2 linked regions of the Diceros bicornis minor genome follow. The protein of the gene in region 1 purifies or fractionates together with the protein of each later gene. This does not show direct contact. Links are inferred from orthologs where the notes say so. Each region holds a gene or a part of one and is shown in the gene's direction. Other genes may lie near its edges.

What was found.
Region 2: the proteins of MMS19 (region 1) and POLD1 purify together in Homo sapiens (affinity purification with western blotting; 3 studies listed by BioGRID and IntAct, with this or other methods). This does not show direct contact. The link is inferred for Diceros bicornis minor from reciprocal best matches to the Homo sapiens genes MMS19 and POLD1.

The regions. Positions count from the first base shown.
Region 1 is NC_080745.1:63,272,548-63,280,106, reverse strand, and holds the start of MMS19 (MMS19 nucleotide excision repair protein homolog), read left to right. Parts: upstream 1-4,505; 5' UTR 4,506-4,520; coding exon 4,521-4,632; intron 4,633-7,559. Other genes in the region: UBTD1 (ubiquitin domain-containing protein 1), read right to left, coding at 3,597-3,666. UniProt on the Homo sapiens protein: Key component of the cytosolic iron-sulfur protein assembly (CIA) complex, a multiprotein complex that mediates the incorporation of iron-sulfur cluster into apoproteins specifically involved in DNA metabolism and genomic integrity.
Region 2 is NC_080773.1:25,593,604-25,601,267, forward strand, and holds the start of POLD1 (DNA polymerase delta catalytic subunit), read left to right. Parts: upstream 1-4,650; 5' UTR 4,651-4,651; coding exon 4,652-4,853; intron 4,854-5,193; coding exon 5,194-5,307; intron 5,308-7,562; coding exon 7,563-7,664. UniProt on the Homo sapiens protein: As the catalytic component of the trimeric (Pol-delta3 complex) and tetrameric DNA polymerase delta complexes (Pol-delta4 complex), plays a crucial role in high fidelity genome replication, including in lagging strand synthesis, and repair.

The DNA.
Region 1 (7,559 bases):
ATGTATGCGGTGGCGGGAGCGCCCCAAAGAAGTAAACCCCCAAGTATTCTCTGAAGCACGCAAGGACCAATCAGCACCTGAAGGGGAGAACACAGACCTACTGGGGATGCATTAAGAGTAACAGTAAAAAAAAATAAAAAAAGAGTGACAACCACAAAATCTGATGAGATGAGAGGACCACCTAATTCTTCTAGCTAATGCAAGACTCCCTGACCAAGTGGGCACTGTGCCTCTGCTTCACCCATCCAGTGACTAGGAAGACAGAACTAAGGCCAATGGGTGATATAACAAGGCATAAGATTTCAACTCAATAACTTTCCAGTTCTGAATAGCTGCCTTTGTGAAGATGATAAAAACAGCCCTAATGATCTTGTATAATCCCCTCCCTTTCTGAGACATTGAAAGTGTGATCCAGAGAGGTTTGATGACTTGCCCAGGGTCACGCAGCTATAGGCCCAGGACTAGAACTCAGCTTCTAGTTCTCTGTTGAGGGTTTCTTCCCATTACACTAGTGGCAAAGGAAAGGTAAGAGTTACAGTGGGATCTAGGGGAGTTTTAGGCACTAATGTTACAACATAAAACTACGTCCTTGTCAAAGGGTAAGCTGCAGATGTTACAGGAATGCCAGGTGCACGCTGTGAAGTTAAGAAAGATTCCTTCCCTTAGAGCAACCTTGTCATTCTACAGGGTTCCCCTTGGCTTTGGACTTTATGAATAAAGCTATTCATAGTAGGACCCACAGAACTGAAAAAATGATACACTAGCAGGTAAAAACAAAAATGCAGATATATACCTTAGTAAAATGTTTACATGAAAAATTTGGATGGTAGGATGGAGTCGGATTAGCTTTCTAAAATCAATAAATATTGAGGGCCTCCTCTGTACAAGTCATTGTGCTAAGTGTTGAGTATGGGTGTACATGCATGTGTGTGTGCATGTGTACGGCTATATGAGTAAGTGAGACAGACACACACACACACAAGGATAAGACAGAACCCAGGTCTTCAAGCTTGTAATATAGCTGCTGATAAAAGACTGTAAACAGGGGCCGGCACCATGGCGTAGCGGTTAAGTCCACGCGCTCCGCTGCTGGTGGCCTGGGTTCAGATCCCGGGTGCGCATGGAGGCACCGCTTGTCAGGCCATGCTGTGGTGGTGTCCCATATAAAGTGGAGGAAGATGGGCACAGATGCTAGCCCAGGGCCAGTCTTCCTCAGCAAAAAGAGGAGGATTGGCATGGATGTTAGCTCAGGGCTGATCTTCCTCGCCAAAAAAAAAAAAAAAAAGACTGTAAACATCAAAGAAACGACTAACAATATGGAGTAGATAATTGTTAAGTAAGTGGCATAATGTATCTGCAGTAGTTCTCAGAAGGTGCAATCACCTATACTAGGCGGGGAGGGGGGTGGAATTGTCAGGCAAGGTGCTTCTAGAAAGATATGGGGATTTGAGGTGGACCTTGAAGGGAAGAAAGGCTCTTGGTAAGAAGAGCGAAAAGGCAGGAGCAAACACTGGTGGCCTTAATGTCAGGGAAGAGAAAGAAATCATACCTTAAAAGGACAGACTGGACCAGACTTGAACAGCCTTGAAAGCTGAAGTCTTCTGGGGGGACCACCATGTGCAGGCACTGGATGAATGACTGAAGATGAACTTGCCTCTGGTGGGGAACTGACATCAACCTGGGAGATATTGAGCTTGAGGTGACAAGGGCATGAAGCAGAGTGGGAACGGGCAGGTTCATATGACCTGCTGAAGGAGGATCCAGCAGGTTCCAGTGACTGACTGGCTGGGAGGCAGAGGACATGGAGGCAGAGAAAGTCAGCAGAGAGAGTTCTTCAAAGTACAAAGCTAGGCAGCTGCAAGAATGGAAGAGAAGAGGGAAGCTGGTTGAGGGGGAGAGATGCAGAGCTGGTTTTAGAAGTGCTGAATCTAAGGATATCTACATTAGGGCATCCAGTGGGCAGTTAGAGATATGAGTGTGGGGTTCAAGAGGCAATAGTTGAAGATACAGATTAGAGGTCTTCCCAACAGACAGAGTTGTGGGACTGAATAAGATTTCCCTGGGAGGGAGTATAATGAGAGAAAAAAATGGAATGTCATATTGAATCACGGGTGTGCCCACACCCAGGAGGTGATGGTGGGCAGGAGTGATCAGAGAAAAAAACCAAGATAGTCTAATGACAAGAAGGGAAGGAGGGATTATTTCAAGTAGGAGTGGGTTGTTAGTGAAAAATGCTACTAAGTCAATTATGTGGACTGAGCACATAAATAATAAATACTTGTTGAATAAATGAATGAATGAAAGGAAGAAAGCCCTTGGGTTTGAGAATTAACTTTCCTCAGTCAGAAGAAAGGTCAGGGTTGCCTTCAGACAAGAGGGTTTCAATGTTAAATTTTACCCTGTCCCCCCTATAAAAACATGTCTCTTCCACAAGTCATCCTGTCCACCACACAGACATCCTTCCCTGCTTCCCCCGTTTCCCCTCATCCTACTTCCCGGTTTCCACAACCCAAGCAACACACCTTCAGTGTCAAACGAGACAGGAAACTCCAACTAGAATTTCCACTTCATTAACAATCCTGCCTGTAGCTCTTCTGACACAAAGGGATATGTGGCAATTGGGTGGAAGAGGAGACTGCGTTCTACCTCTAGCTGTACTACCAACTAGCTGTGTGGCTTTGGGCAAGTTGATCAACCTCTCTGGATTTGGGCTTTGTACATAGACAGGAGGAGGTACGTCTATCTGGACTCTAGACAAGCTTCAAAGGTCCCTTACAGCTCTAAAGTCTACGATTTTATCATTCTCAGAAGGTCCTTGCAACATCCTCAGAGAAGGAAGTGAGTACAAGACACGGGGAAGCGGCCGCCAGACCTCTTCCCGGGGCAAAACGCCAGGATAGGAGTGTACCAAGAAAGTGAGAAGGCGCTGCTCGGCCCTCGCAGATCAGCAGAGAGTAGATCCCATTCCCAAGGCTGGGAAGTATCCCAACGAACCCGAGGGCGATTCCCACCCCGCACCCCACCTTTCCCAGGCTCCCAGACGGCCAGGAGGCTCTAAAAAGCCTGCGGGAAAAATAAAGATTTCTTTCCCAGAGTCCTGCGCTGCTTTTGCAAGTCGGATTCCGGCAGACACGATCTGCAGCCGGATAATGACACAGTCTTTGGAAGGAGCGACTGTTCTCGCCTCGCTCGCTCAGAGTTCTGGGGACGCCTAGCCGCCCGCACCGTGTCCCGACGGGTGGACGTCCGACCCCAGCCCTACTGCCAGGTCAGCGGCGCCCCCGCCCGGAGCCCTCCTCCCCTTCATCGGCCCCGCTGCGGTCTGCAAACATTTCCTGCCCCCGCCCCCACCCCCACCCGGAGCTTCCCAGTTGGAGCAAGTTGGGCTCACAGGCGGGTCAGCGCTCGCAGTTGCCCCAACTCGGCTCCCCCGGTTACCAGGGCTGGGGAGGGGGCCCCAGTCTCGCTCAGGAGCACCCATCGGGGAAACCCAGGCTCCAGGAGCTTTGGGAGGTCACTCCGGGAGCCCAGGGCTCGGGCAAGGAGGGGGACAACTGGCGGGGCGCCCGTTGCCCTGCTCCCTTCCCGGTCGTTACCTGCTCGCTTGCGGGGGTGTCCCGGGGCGTCCGGCCTCTCCCGGCGCTGTCTCCCCACGCAGTTGCCCATGCTGCCTCCTCAGCCGGGCCCCATGCACCGGAGGCGGCGGGCGGGCCGGCTGCTCCGCACCCCTGGCCCGGACGGCGGCGTCCCGGGTCAACGGCTCCTGCCGCCGGGCATCAGGCGCTCCCCAATCTCCCCCCGGGGTCGCGCTCTGCCCAAGCGCCGGCTTCGCCACAAACTTTGCGGGCGAGGGGAGAGAGGGAGGTGGCCGACTCCGCAGCACAGTCCCAGGTGGCCGGGCCAGGGGGGCCCGCGACGGTGCCCGGCCGGAGACCAGCTCCGCCGGAGGGGCGGAGAGAGGGGGCGGGCACCGCCGCAGCTACTCCCGGCTCGCTCGGGGCTCCCAGCTGGGGCCGGCCCCCTGGAGCCTGTCACTCACCTGCCTAACCCCGCCCCAGCCCGGCCCCGCTCCCTGCCCCTGGCTCGCAGTGCCAGCGCCGCCGCCGCCGCCCGCCCCAGGTGCGCATGTGACCGACGGCACCGCCCCCTCGGGCCGGGCCTGATTTTCTCATTGGCTTCCCTAGGGTGCGTACCGCCCCTAGGCCCCACCCAGCCAGGTGTCCGCCCCGCCGCCCGTCTCCCGGGGAGCCGGGCCCGGAATTATTCGCCCTCAACGGCCCCCGGTTGCGTGCCCAGCAGCCGCCTTCCCTCCCCGCGCCTCCGCCCCGACTCTAGGCCCCGCCCCTCGGGGAGGGACCGTCCCACGCCTCTCTGGAATTGCCTGGCCGGGAGCCTGCAGGCACGTGATCCAGGGAGCGCCCCGCCCCCTCAGCCTCCGCCAGCCCATTGGCTCGGGAGGCGCGTGCGCCGAGAGGCCTGTCCCGTACCACCGCCCACTTCTCCCTCCCGCGGTTCGCATCATGGCCGCCGCCGCCGCTCTGGAGGCGGTGGCGCCTACAGGCAACCTGTGGGGCCTCGTACACGACTTCGTCATGGGTCAGCAGGAGGGCCCCGCTGACCAAGTGGCTGCAGGTACGGCAGACGGCGCCGCGCGGCTTCCGCGTGGGGGCCGGCAGGAGGGAGCGGCCTCAGCACAGACCCTGAGCGGGAAGGGAGTGAGGGACAGTGGTGACTTTGAGAGATTGGTCTGGGGCTGGTTGTGAGCAGCGCGTGCTTAAAAGCCATAACAAACTGAGAGTCGCTTGCATCTTCCCTAAAGCGCCTTTACGACCCTCGTCTCCGTGCATAGCCACCCTTTGCGCTGGCCGGGTTAGGAAAGTAATTACCATTTCACTTGAGGAAACTGAGGCCCAGCGAGTGCAAGAGACTCGCAGATCAGGCAAGTGGGGGAGCTGGGACTCGGACCCAGGTTCTTCAGTTCAGAATCAGGTGCTCACACCGCCAGAGCTCTTGTTTCTGGGAGGTTGACGTGAGAAGATGCATCTACAGCGGCATCAGCTCGAGTCACGTGGCATGTTGGGAGTGGCCGGGCGGCCGGGCGTCTGACTGGCTCTAATTGGAGAGAGGAGGAGAGATGCCAGTCTGGGGAGAGTTTGAGATGTTCTGCGCATCCTCCCTAAGCCTTTCCCTACATTTCTTGGTAAAGTTCTTGATTAATTTTTTCATGACATTTTTGTGTGGTATTTGTTTTTATTTTTTCCCCAGATCTTTATAGTTTCCTGCTTTTGACCAGTTCAGGAATCTCTTAGTTCTGACAGCTTATCTAGATTTGAATAAAGCAAATTACAGATTTCCTTGGAGTTCTGAGACCTTACTCTTTTAGGAAAAAACCTAAAAAGTTATTGAATGTTAGGAGGGCTTCAGACCTCGTGTTTAAGTAATAGAATATAAAATAATCTCTTGAGTACAGATGAGTTTTGGCTTTATTTTTGGAATTTTTGCATGCTTGGAGAGAAGTAAAGGACACATTTCTCTTGAAAATTGAACATATTAACTTTTAGAATATCTGAGAAATGAATAAAGTGAATCTACTAGAAGTATATAATACTTTGGTCCTTAGCAGTATTCCACTTTCATACAATCTTTCCACCATTGTTGAACACACATTATTCTGCAAACACAATGCAAAGCAATAGGAATATAAATACAAATCAGACTAGATCTGTGCCCGCTAGGAATTTATAGTGTGATGGGAGAGACAACCATGCAAACAGATAGTACACTACACCATGAAAAGAGCTATAAAAGATATGTGCAAGGTGGCATGGAAGCATCAAGGAGCAAATGCCTGATGCTGCCATTCCACTGAGCTTAACTTCTTTTTTTTTTTTTTAAAGATTTTATTTATTTATTTTTCCCCCAAAGCCCCAGTAGATAGTTGTCTGTCATAGCTGCACATCCTTCTAGTTGCTGCATGTGGGACGCGGCCTCAGCATGGCCGGAGGAGTGGTGCGTCGGTGTGCGCCCGGGATCCGAACCCGGGCCGCCGGCAGCGGAGCGCGCACACTTAACCAGTAAGCCATGGGGCCGGCCCTGAGCTTAACTTCTTACAGCTTTATGAAGTATAGTGTGTTGAGTGCTTACAATTAACAAGTGCAGTCTGTTATCAATGTCATTTTTCCCAATGTTTTATTATGAAAATTATAGAGCAAAGTCTAAAGAATTTCATAAGAAACACATACACCCACCACCTAGATTCTACCATTAACATTTTAATATACCTTGCTTTATCGCATATCCATCCACCATTTAAATTGCAGATATCACTACATTTCCCCCTAAATACTTTGGTATGCATATCATTAACTAGAGTTCCTTTACAGTTTATTTTGGTGTAAAATTTATATCCAATGAAGTGTACAAATCTTAAATGTACATTCATGGATTTTGACAAATACATACACCTGCACAGTCCAACCCCCTACCAAGATAAAGAACATTACTATATGTGTCGTTTGTAACCCTTCTTTCACATTTATACGTTATGAACACAATAATTTTGGATTTTTCAAATTCATAACACATTTGAGAAGATGCGTGAATAAGGATTGCCAAGTTCTTACTAATACTTTTGTAAAATTTGTATTTTTTATGCCTGAAAAAAATGGCCTAACCTGTTGTCTAGTTTAAATTTAATTCAGCTCAGCTAAGACTGTAACACTAGCCCTGCTGTAATTTAGCCCCTCCTGACTAGAAAAGCAGTTTGGTAGTAGCAGAAAAGTAACAGAGGGGTAGTGACAGATGAAGTTGAAAAGGCTTGTTGGGGTTGGATTATGTATAACCTTGGATTCCTGGCGGAGCGATTTGAATGACCTATTGTAGGTAATAGGAGTCATTGTAGATCCTTGAGCAAGGGAGTCAGTTGTATAATGAAAGCAAATTTGAGAAGGATTAAATTGGTATTCTTGATCTTAGGTCACAGCCCTGGTTAGGGTTGGTAAAGGCTGACAGAGTTTTGAAGCATCCCCACAATAAGATGTGCTTTCTAATCCTCCAGCCTAAATCAAGCTGTGTTAGTGCTAAAGGGACCAGCTTTCTATTCAGCCACTCACAGCAGAAGCCCCTTCTACACATTGTAAATGAAGAAGAAACACCCTGTGATCCTAAAGGCAGCTACCACCAACTTTGTTTTGCACCTGGGTTCCTGGTGAAAATAGGTGTTAGATATAAAGGTGCAAATGATGGAAGAGAAATGACCCGGCAGCCTAAGGGTTAAAGGCTTCTGAGCCAGGCATTCAAAGGCTGCCAACACCTGGCCCTAGCTTGCTTTTACTCTCACCACTCCCCTCCTAGACCTTTAGTTCCACGCAGCCACCTTGATTTTCTGTTCCCTGAGTGCTTTCCTTCCCAGTTCCCTCCACTAGCTCCATCTAATCAAAGTTAGACCTAGGATTCAAGGCCCAGCTTGAGTGCTTGCTGCCTGCCTCCAAGCGTTTCCTGATTACTCCAGCCAGACTCATCTCACACTTCAGAATCTTGGTGGTACTTATTTCTCTACC
Region 2 (7,664 bases), on another chromosome or scaffold:
GGCACAGAAGGTCAAAAGACACAAACGTTGTGCACACACAGTCATTGCACCGTTCGTAATAGCAAGAAGGTGCAAATAATCCTCATGTCCCCAGCGGATGAGAGGGTGAGCACGCTGTGATGGAACCAGACAGTGGGGAGATATTCGGGCATAAAGGGAAATGAAGGACCCATCCACGCTACAACGTGGGCGGGCCTCGAAAACATAATCCTCAGGCAAGTCTGACACTAAAGGACATAGGTTCTAAGATCCCTTTTATAGGAAATGCCCAGCATAGGCAAATTATTTGCTGAGACAGACAAAGTAGGTTAGCAGTTGCTTTGGGCTGGAGGAGGATGGGCTGAATAGGGGATGACAGCTAAAGGGTGCGCGGTTTCTTGTTGGGGTGATGATTATATCTCAGTAAAACTGTCTCCCCACCCCCACCCTCACCCACAAAACCAGTGTTACCAGTTTATTGCTTATCTTTCCAGAATTATGCATTAAAAGCAAATATATTTATACATATTCTCCAGCCCACCTGGTGAAAATGTTTTTCTTTTACGTACTTCCCCCCAACTTTTTATTTTGAAAAGTTTCAAACCTGCAGAGAAGTTACAAGACAAGGATAATCTGTGCCCTTGCCCAGGTTCACCGGTTGTTAACATACACACGCATACACACATTGGGTTCTTTTTTGGCTGAACTATTTGCAAGTTGTGATCATCATGATACTTTGCCTCAAAAAACCCCAGCAGGTATCTCTTTTTCTTTGCTGAGGAAGACTGGCCCTGGGCTGACATCCGTGCCCATCTTCCTCTACTTTATATGGGACGCCGCCACAGCACGGCTTGACAAGCGGTGTGTAGGTCCTCGCCTGGGATCCGAACCTGCGAACCCCGGGCCGCCAAAGCAGAGCACGCAAACTTAACCAGTACGCCACCAGGCCAGCCCCAGGTATCTCTTAAGAACAGGGATGCCCGCCTACGTAGCTACAGTATAATTATCATAATCAGGCCATTTAACGGGATACAGCCCTATTATCTCATAGACAGTCTTTATTCCTGTTGTCCCGGTACTCTTAGCTATTTTCAATTTTTTAATCCAAGATCTAATCTGGGGTCACACTTTGCATTTAGTTGTCAGCACTCTGTAGTCTTTCCTTTAATCTAAAACAGTTTCCTGGCTGTTTTTTTCCCCCCTTTCATGACATACGACATTTTTGAAGATTCCAGACTGGTATTTTTACAGACCACTCTTTACTTTGGTTTGATTGTTTCCTAGTGACTAGAATCAGGGTAAACATTTTCCTTGACATCTTTTTTTTTTTTTTCATACAAAAGATAGCACTAAGTACACCGTTCTGCACCTTGCCTTCTCTACCTAACAATGGGTCTTTGAGAGCCCTCCATATCAGTGCATAGAGAGCTTCCTCATTCCTTTATACAGCTGCATAGTATTCCATGGAACGGAATTAATGTAATTGATTTAAACAGTCCCCCAGGGGAGGACATTTAGGTGGTTTCCAGTCTTTTGTGATTGCAAACAGTGCTGCCGGAAATAACCTTGTAAATGTACTTTTTCATTATGTGATAGTATATCTGTAGCATGAACCCCTAGGTGTGGAATTGCAGCCTCCCCACTTTTATGTTTCTAATTGAGGTGTAATTTACATATAGTGAAATGCACAGGTCTCAGGTGGACAGCTGGATATGCAGTACATTTCCATCACTCCAGAAAATTCCCTTGTGCCCCTTCCCGGTCAATCTCTCCCACCCCGCAAGCAGCCACTAGCCTGATTTCTAGCATCATAGATTAGTTTAGTCTATTCTAGAACTTTGTGTAAACGGCATCCTACAATATATACTCTTTTTATAATTGAGACGAAATTAACCATTTTAAAGTGTACTGTGCAGTGGCGTTTACCATACTTACAATGTTGTGCAGTCACCCACCTCCATCTAGTTCCAGAATATTTTCTTTCTTTTTTTTTTTGTTTCTTTTGGTGAAGAAGATTGGCCCTGAGCTAACATCTGTTGCCAGTCCTCCTCTTTTTGCTTGAGGAAGATTGTCCCCAAGCTAACATCTGTGCCTGTCTTCCTCTGTTTTGTATATGGGACGCCGCCACAGGATGGCTTGATGAGTGGTGTGTAAGTCTGCGCCTGGGATCCAAACCTTTGAACCCCGGGCCGCCGAAGCAGACCACGTGAACCCAACCGCTACGCCCCCAGGCAGGCCCCTCTAGAACATTTTCATGCCCCCAAAAGGAAACCCCATGCTCGTTAGCAGTCACTCCCCATCCCCCCAGGGTGTACTCATGTCTGGCTTGTGTTCGGTGTGTTTTGGAGATTCATCCATCCTGTGTGTATGTATATCAGTAGCTGCCTCTTTTTTTAATGCTGAGAGGTATTCCACTGTATCCCACCTCCACACGTTTGCAATAACACACCCCCAACAGTTCAGAATTTTTCTGTGCTGTATTTAAGGTCTAAGCTAAGCCACTGTAACAGAGAGACCCCAAAGCCCAGTGGCTCAGGCAAGATACAAGTTTATTTCTCCACATAGCCCTCCAAAGGTAGGTAGTTCATTTCTCCACATAAACCTCCAAAAGGTTGTTGAGGGGCCCGGGTTCCTTCCATCTTGTAGCTCTGCATTCTCTGGAATGTTATCCTTTTCCCTGTGGTCACGGTTGGTTCACCACCACCACATCCATGCTCCAGCCATCGGGAAGGGGGAAGGTGCTGGAGGGCAAGCTTCCTTCTAAGGCTGTCCCCGATGTTGCACGCCTTGAAGTCGTTCCCGTTCCGTGAGAGAGAACTCGGTCACGTGACCACCCCAGCAGTGCACACCGTGAAACGTAGTCTCGAGCTGGGCAGCCTGTGGCAGCCCCAAGGCAAGGGGTCGGTGTTGAAAAGGATGAAGGGGGGAGACTGGATCTGGGGGCATAGTTGTGGGATCCAGAGGTGTTCCCTTGAACCTGGGCAGCTGACCTATCCACTCCCCTCCCCTCCCCACCAGCTGGGTCTGGGGTCTGCTCTAGGCTCCCATAATCCCCTCTGTCTCAGCCTGGACACTGAGAGATGTGTGCTTTTCTAACAATTCATTTTCTTTTTTAATAATTTCAAACATGGGAAGGTTGAAAGAATAATACCAAGAACACCTGTGTACCCTTCACCCAGATTCACCTGTTTTCACAGTTTTCCTTATTTACTTTGTGATTTGCACACACACATGCTTTCTTTTTCTCCTCTCTATGTACATATGCACACTGTAAAACAACTTTTCCGAACAGCTTGCATAGATCATGGCCATTTACCCCTAAATACTTAAGTGTGCATTTCCTTAGAATATTCTCTTTCTGAGCCGCAGAAAGTTACCAACTTGAATAGGCTTAACCTAAATACAGTCTTTTGTCTAATCTACTAGAGGACATGTACTTGTATATCAATATATCCTGTCAAAATATACCCCTCAGATAGGGGCCGGCCTGGTGGCGTAGTGGTTAAGTGCGCGTGCTCCCCTTCGGCAGTCCGGGGTTTGCGGGTTCGGATCCCAGGCGTGGACCTATGCACCGCTCATCAAGCCATGCTGTGGCAGCGTCCCATATAAAGTGGAGGAAGATGGGCATGGATGTCAGCCTAGGGCCAATCTTCCTCAGCAAAAAGAGGGGGATTGGCAGATGTTAGCCCAGGGCTGATCTTCCTCACCAAAAAAAAAAAAAAAAAAAAAAAAAACGAAAAAGAATACATGTAAACACATCTAAACAGCAGTCTCTATTTGGTTTGCTGTTGTGTTTCCTACTTTGGATTGTGGATTGAGGGCGGGGGCTGCTCTCAAGGGCATTTTGGGGATTATTGGAGAAATTGGAAAAAGGACTCTTTATTTTGTATTATTATTGAGTCAGTGTTAAATGTCCTGGATTTGATCATTGCACCATGCTTATTTAAGAGAATGTCCTTAAATAGGAAAATAGATAGTAATCTGAATTGTGCATATTGTATATGGGGGTGGGGAGAGGGAGTGGGAAGCAGATGTGGCCCCATATTGACACTCGGGGACTCTGGGTGAAGGCTACACAGGAGTTCTATGAGTTTGAAATTATTTCAGAATAAAAAGGGAGGGCTCTTGTGTTTGTTTTGTTTTTGAGTGCAGTGTTTTGAGCTGGGAAGGGACCTGATCAGATCCGTCTTTCAGGCCACTCCCTGGCCCCCAACACAGTGACTGGCCTGAAGGGGGCGCTGCCCAGCTGTTTGTCGAGGGAAGGCCCGGGCAGATGTGGTGATGGGCGGGCGAGGGCCTTGAGGACAGAGGTTTATGGGAAAGAAAGGGAAGTGCTAAGGAACGATGATGTGATGTGATGGGCAGAGAGGGGAGAGGGCGAGGAGAGCCAGTGACGAGGGGTCTGCAAGGGGCAAGTACCCAGGGACAGAAGGACGTGGAGGGCCTGAGCGTGTGAGGAGAGGGTTAGGCTGAGCTGGGGGGTGGGCTGGAGTTACATCAGCTGATGATCACTGGGCGTCTGGAGCGTTCCAGCACCCTGTGAGCCTGCGGGTGGAGAGCCGTGTTACCCTTCAGGCGCTCCAGAGAATCAAAAGGCTCACAGTCATGGTGGGTGCACGGGAGGCCACGGAGAAGGCGGGAACCCTCACCCAGCCCCGAATTGCCTGGCAGGATGGATGGCAAGCGGCGGTCAGGCCCGGGGCCCGGGGTGCCCCCGAAGCGGGCCCGGGGGGGCCTCTGGGATGAGGATGAGGCGTCTGGGCCGTCCCAGTTCGAGGAGGATCTGGCGCTGATGGAGGAGCTGGAGGCAGAGCACCGGCTGCAGGAACAGGAGGAGGAGGAGCTACTGTCGGCCGTGGACGGGGCTGCGGACGGTGAGGCCTGGAGCGGGAGCCCCCTGCGCCCCCTCCCATCTTGCCTCTGATCTGAGGCAGCCACAGAGCTGACCTGTAACCTCTGGCCCACTTTGAGCCCCACATAGGGCTGACCTTTGACCCCATGCCAGTATACCACTTCCTGCCTGCAGTTTCTATTCTGACCTTGATCCTACAGTCTCTCCCGAGATTCCTGCCTGATCCAGACCACCACCTCCCCTGACTCTCCTTTCACAAATCGGATGCCACCTGAGGGGTCACGGGCTGGGCTGGGAGGGCAGTTACTTATCCTGAGGGAGAACCCCGACTCATGTAGCCCTGCTTCCCTCCCCACACGCAGGGCAGTTCTCCCAGACAGCCATAGATCCCCGCTGGCTTCGGCCCTCCCCGCCCCCCCTAGACCCCCAGACGGAGCCCCTCATCTTCCAGCAGTTGGAGATCGACCATTACGTAGGTGAGTTTGGGGGACAGAAGCCTGGCGGGTGGGTGGAGGGGCCCTGGGCTCCTGCGGGGGAGGCCTGGCCGCGTCAGCCCCGCTGGCTCTGTGGGAGGAGATGGACACAGGCAGTCCCTGCCCTGGTGACCGGGGCTGTGAGAGGGAGGGACAGGCCTGGGGGTGCCCAGAGGGGGCAGCGAGGAGTCTGGTGGGGGGTCGAGAGGGGCACGGGTATCCAGAAGGGCTTCCTGGAGGAGGGGAGCATCTTCCAGCTGAGGCCTGGAGGTAAAAAGAACTGACTCCTTGCAGAGGGGAGAGACGTGTGTGACATCCATCCATCCATCCACTTATCTAGTCAGTCAGGAACAGCTGAGCGTCTCTACCGAGCCAGGCCCTGTTCCTGGCAGACCAGGTCCCTGCTCTCAGAGGCTCACGTTCTGGAAGGAGGGGCAAAATAAAAAGGGAAATGGGACAGCAGGTAGCCGTGAGGGTTATAGAAGAACAAAGCGGGGAGTAGGATGCGGGGCGTGCTGGACCACGCTTCTTGAAGGTCCAGGAAGGCCTCTCTGCGGAGGCGACAAGGAGCAGAGGGGATGTCTGGGAAAGAGGGGTTCTGGGTGGAGGGTCCCGGGCAGGAGCAGGTCTGGTGTGTTTAAGGAGCAGCGAGGAGACCAGTGTGGGGGAGCGAGGGGCAGAGATGAAGGCAAGGGGGCACAGGAGAGCCTGTCGCCCGCGAGGACTTCAGGGCTCCGTTCTGAGCGCACTGGGGAGTCTCTCGCAATGCAGAGGCCCGCTCCCCCTTGCCTATTAGAGGCCTCCCTGTGATAGAATGAAAAGAAACTACAGGCGGGGAGGACGCATTCATCACCCACACGCCTGACAGAGGACCGTGCCGCACATATATAGAGAACACTCAGGTCTCCACAGTAAGAGAACAATCCAGTTCAAAAGTGGACACAAAACTTGAACAGACAACTCACTGGAGGAGAAGGATGGCCGAGGAGCATGTGGGATGATGCTCTGTGTCCCTAGCTCCTGGGGAAATGCACGTGACAGCTGCAGGGAGACACAGCACGCCCCTCTCAGAAGGACGGAAGTGAAATATGCTGGCACCACCAGGTGCTGGCGGTACGCGGCAGGGCGCGGCCACTCGGGGAAACAGCCTGGCCGTTTCTTACCGAGTTTAAGCTACTCTCTTTTTGTCCATTGGGACTCTAGTGGGTTTTTTCCAGCTTTATTGAGATAAAAGAGTTAAACCTACTCTTGGGGCTGGCCCTGTGGCCTAGTGGTTAAGTTTGGCACCTTCTGCTTTGGCGGCCTGAGTTTGGTTCCCAGGCGCAGACCTACACCACTCATTGACTGCCATACTGTGGTGGTGACCCTCATACAAAATAGAGGAAGACTGGCACAGATGTTAGTTCAGGGCCAATCTTCCTCAGCAAAAAAAAAAAGAAAGAAAGAAAAAGAAAAGAAGAGTTAAACCTACTCTTACCATAGGACCCAGCAATTCCACCCCTAGATATTTACCCCAGAGAAACAGCAACCTCGCTTCAAACAAAAACCTGTACCCGGATGTTAATAGCATCTCTTCTCATAACCGCCCCAAACTGGAAACAACCCACATATCCTGCTACCGGGGGAGCGGATAAGCAAACTCTGGTCCATCCACACCGCGCAGTGCTTCTCCACAATAAGGAGGAAGGAGCTGTTGACGCGTGAGGAGGATGAATGTCAGGGGTGTCGTGCTGAGTGCGAGGCAGACCCAGCGGTGACGGGCTGTACAACTCCATTCACAGGGACGGTCTCGAAAAGACGCAGTTAGACGGGGAACAGACCGTCAGTGCCGGGGTGGGGTGGGAGGGGGGCGTGGTTGCAGAGGGGCAGCTCGAGGGAGCTGTCCGGAGTGGCGGAAGCGTCTAGTACCCCGATTTTGGTGGTGGTTACGTGAATGTGTATGTGCGTTCAAGCTCGTAACACTATACAAAGTCGATTTTACTTTTTAAAAGAAAATCTTTGCATTTGCAGAAAAGGGTGGGGGTCTCCGTCTGGCTGCGCCGTGGAAAGTGGACGTTAGGGGGACAAGGGTGGAAACGGAGCCCGGGGCAGGCGGGGCTCGCCTCCACGCCAGGGCTGAAATCAGGCGGCGTGCACAGCGCGGAAGGGCCCCGAGCTGCAGGAACGGGGCTGCGTTCCCGGCACGGGAGGGCCCCGGGGAGGCGAACCTTTGAGGAGTCTGAGAGGGCAGCCCCTGCCTTACCCTGTGACGCCCCCAGGCCCAGCACAGCCCCTGCCTTGGGCGCCGTTGCCACCTCTCGGCTCCGTGCCTGTGCTCCGCGCCTTCGGGGTCACCGACGAGGGCGTCTCCATCTGCTGCC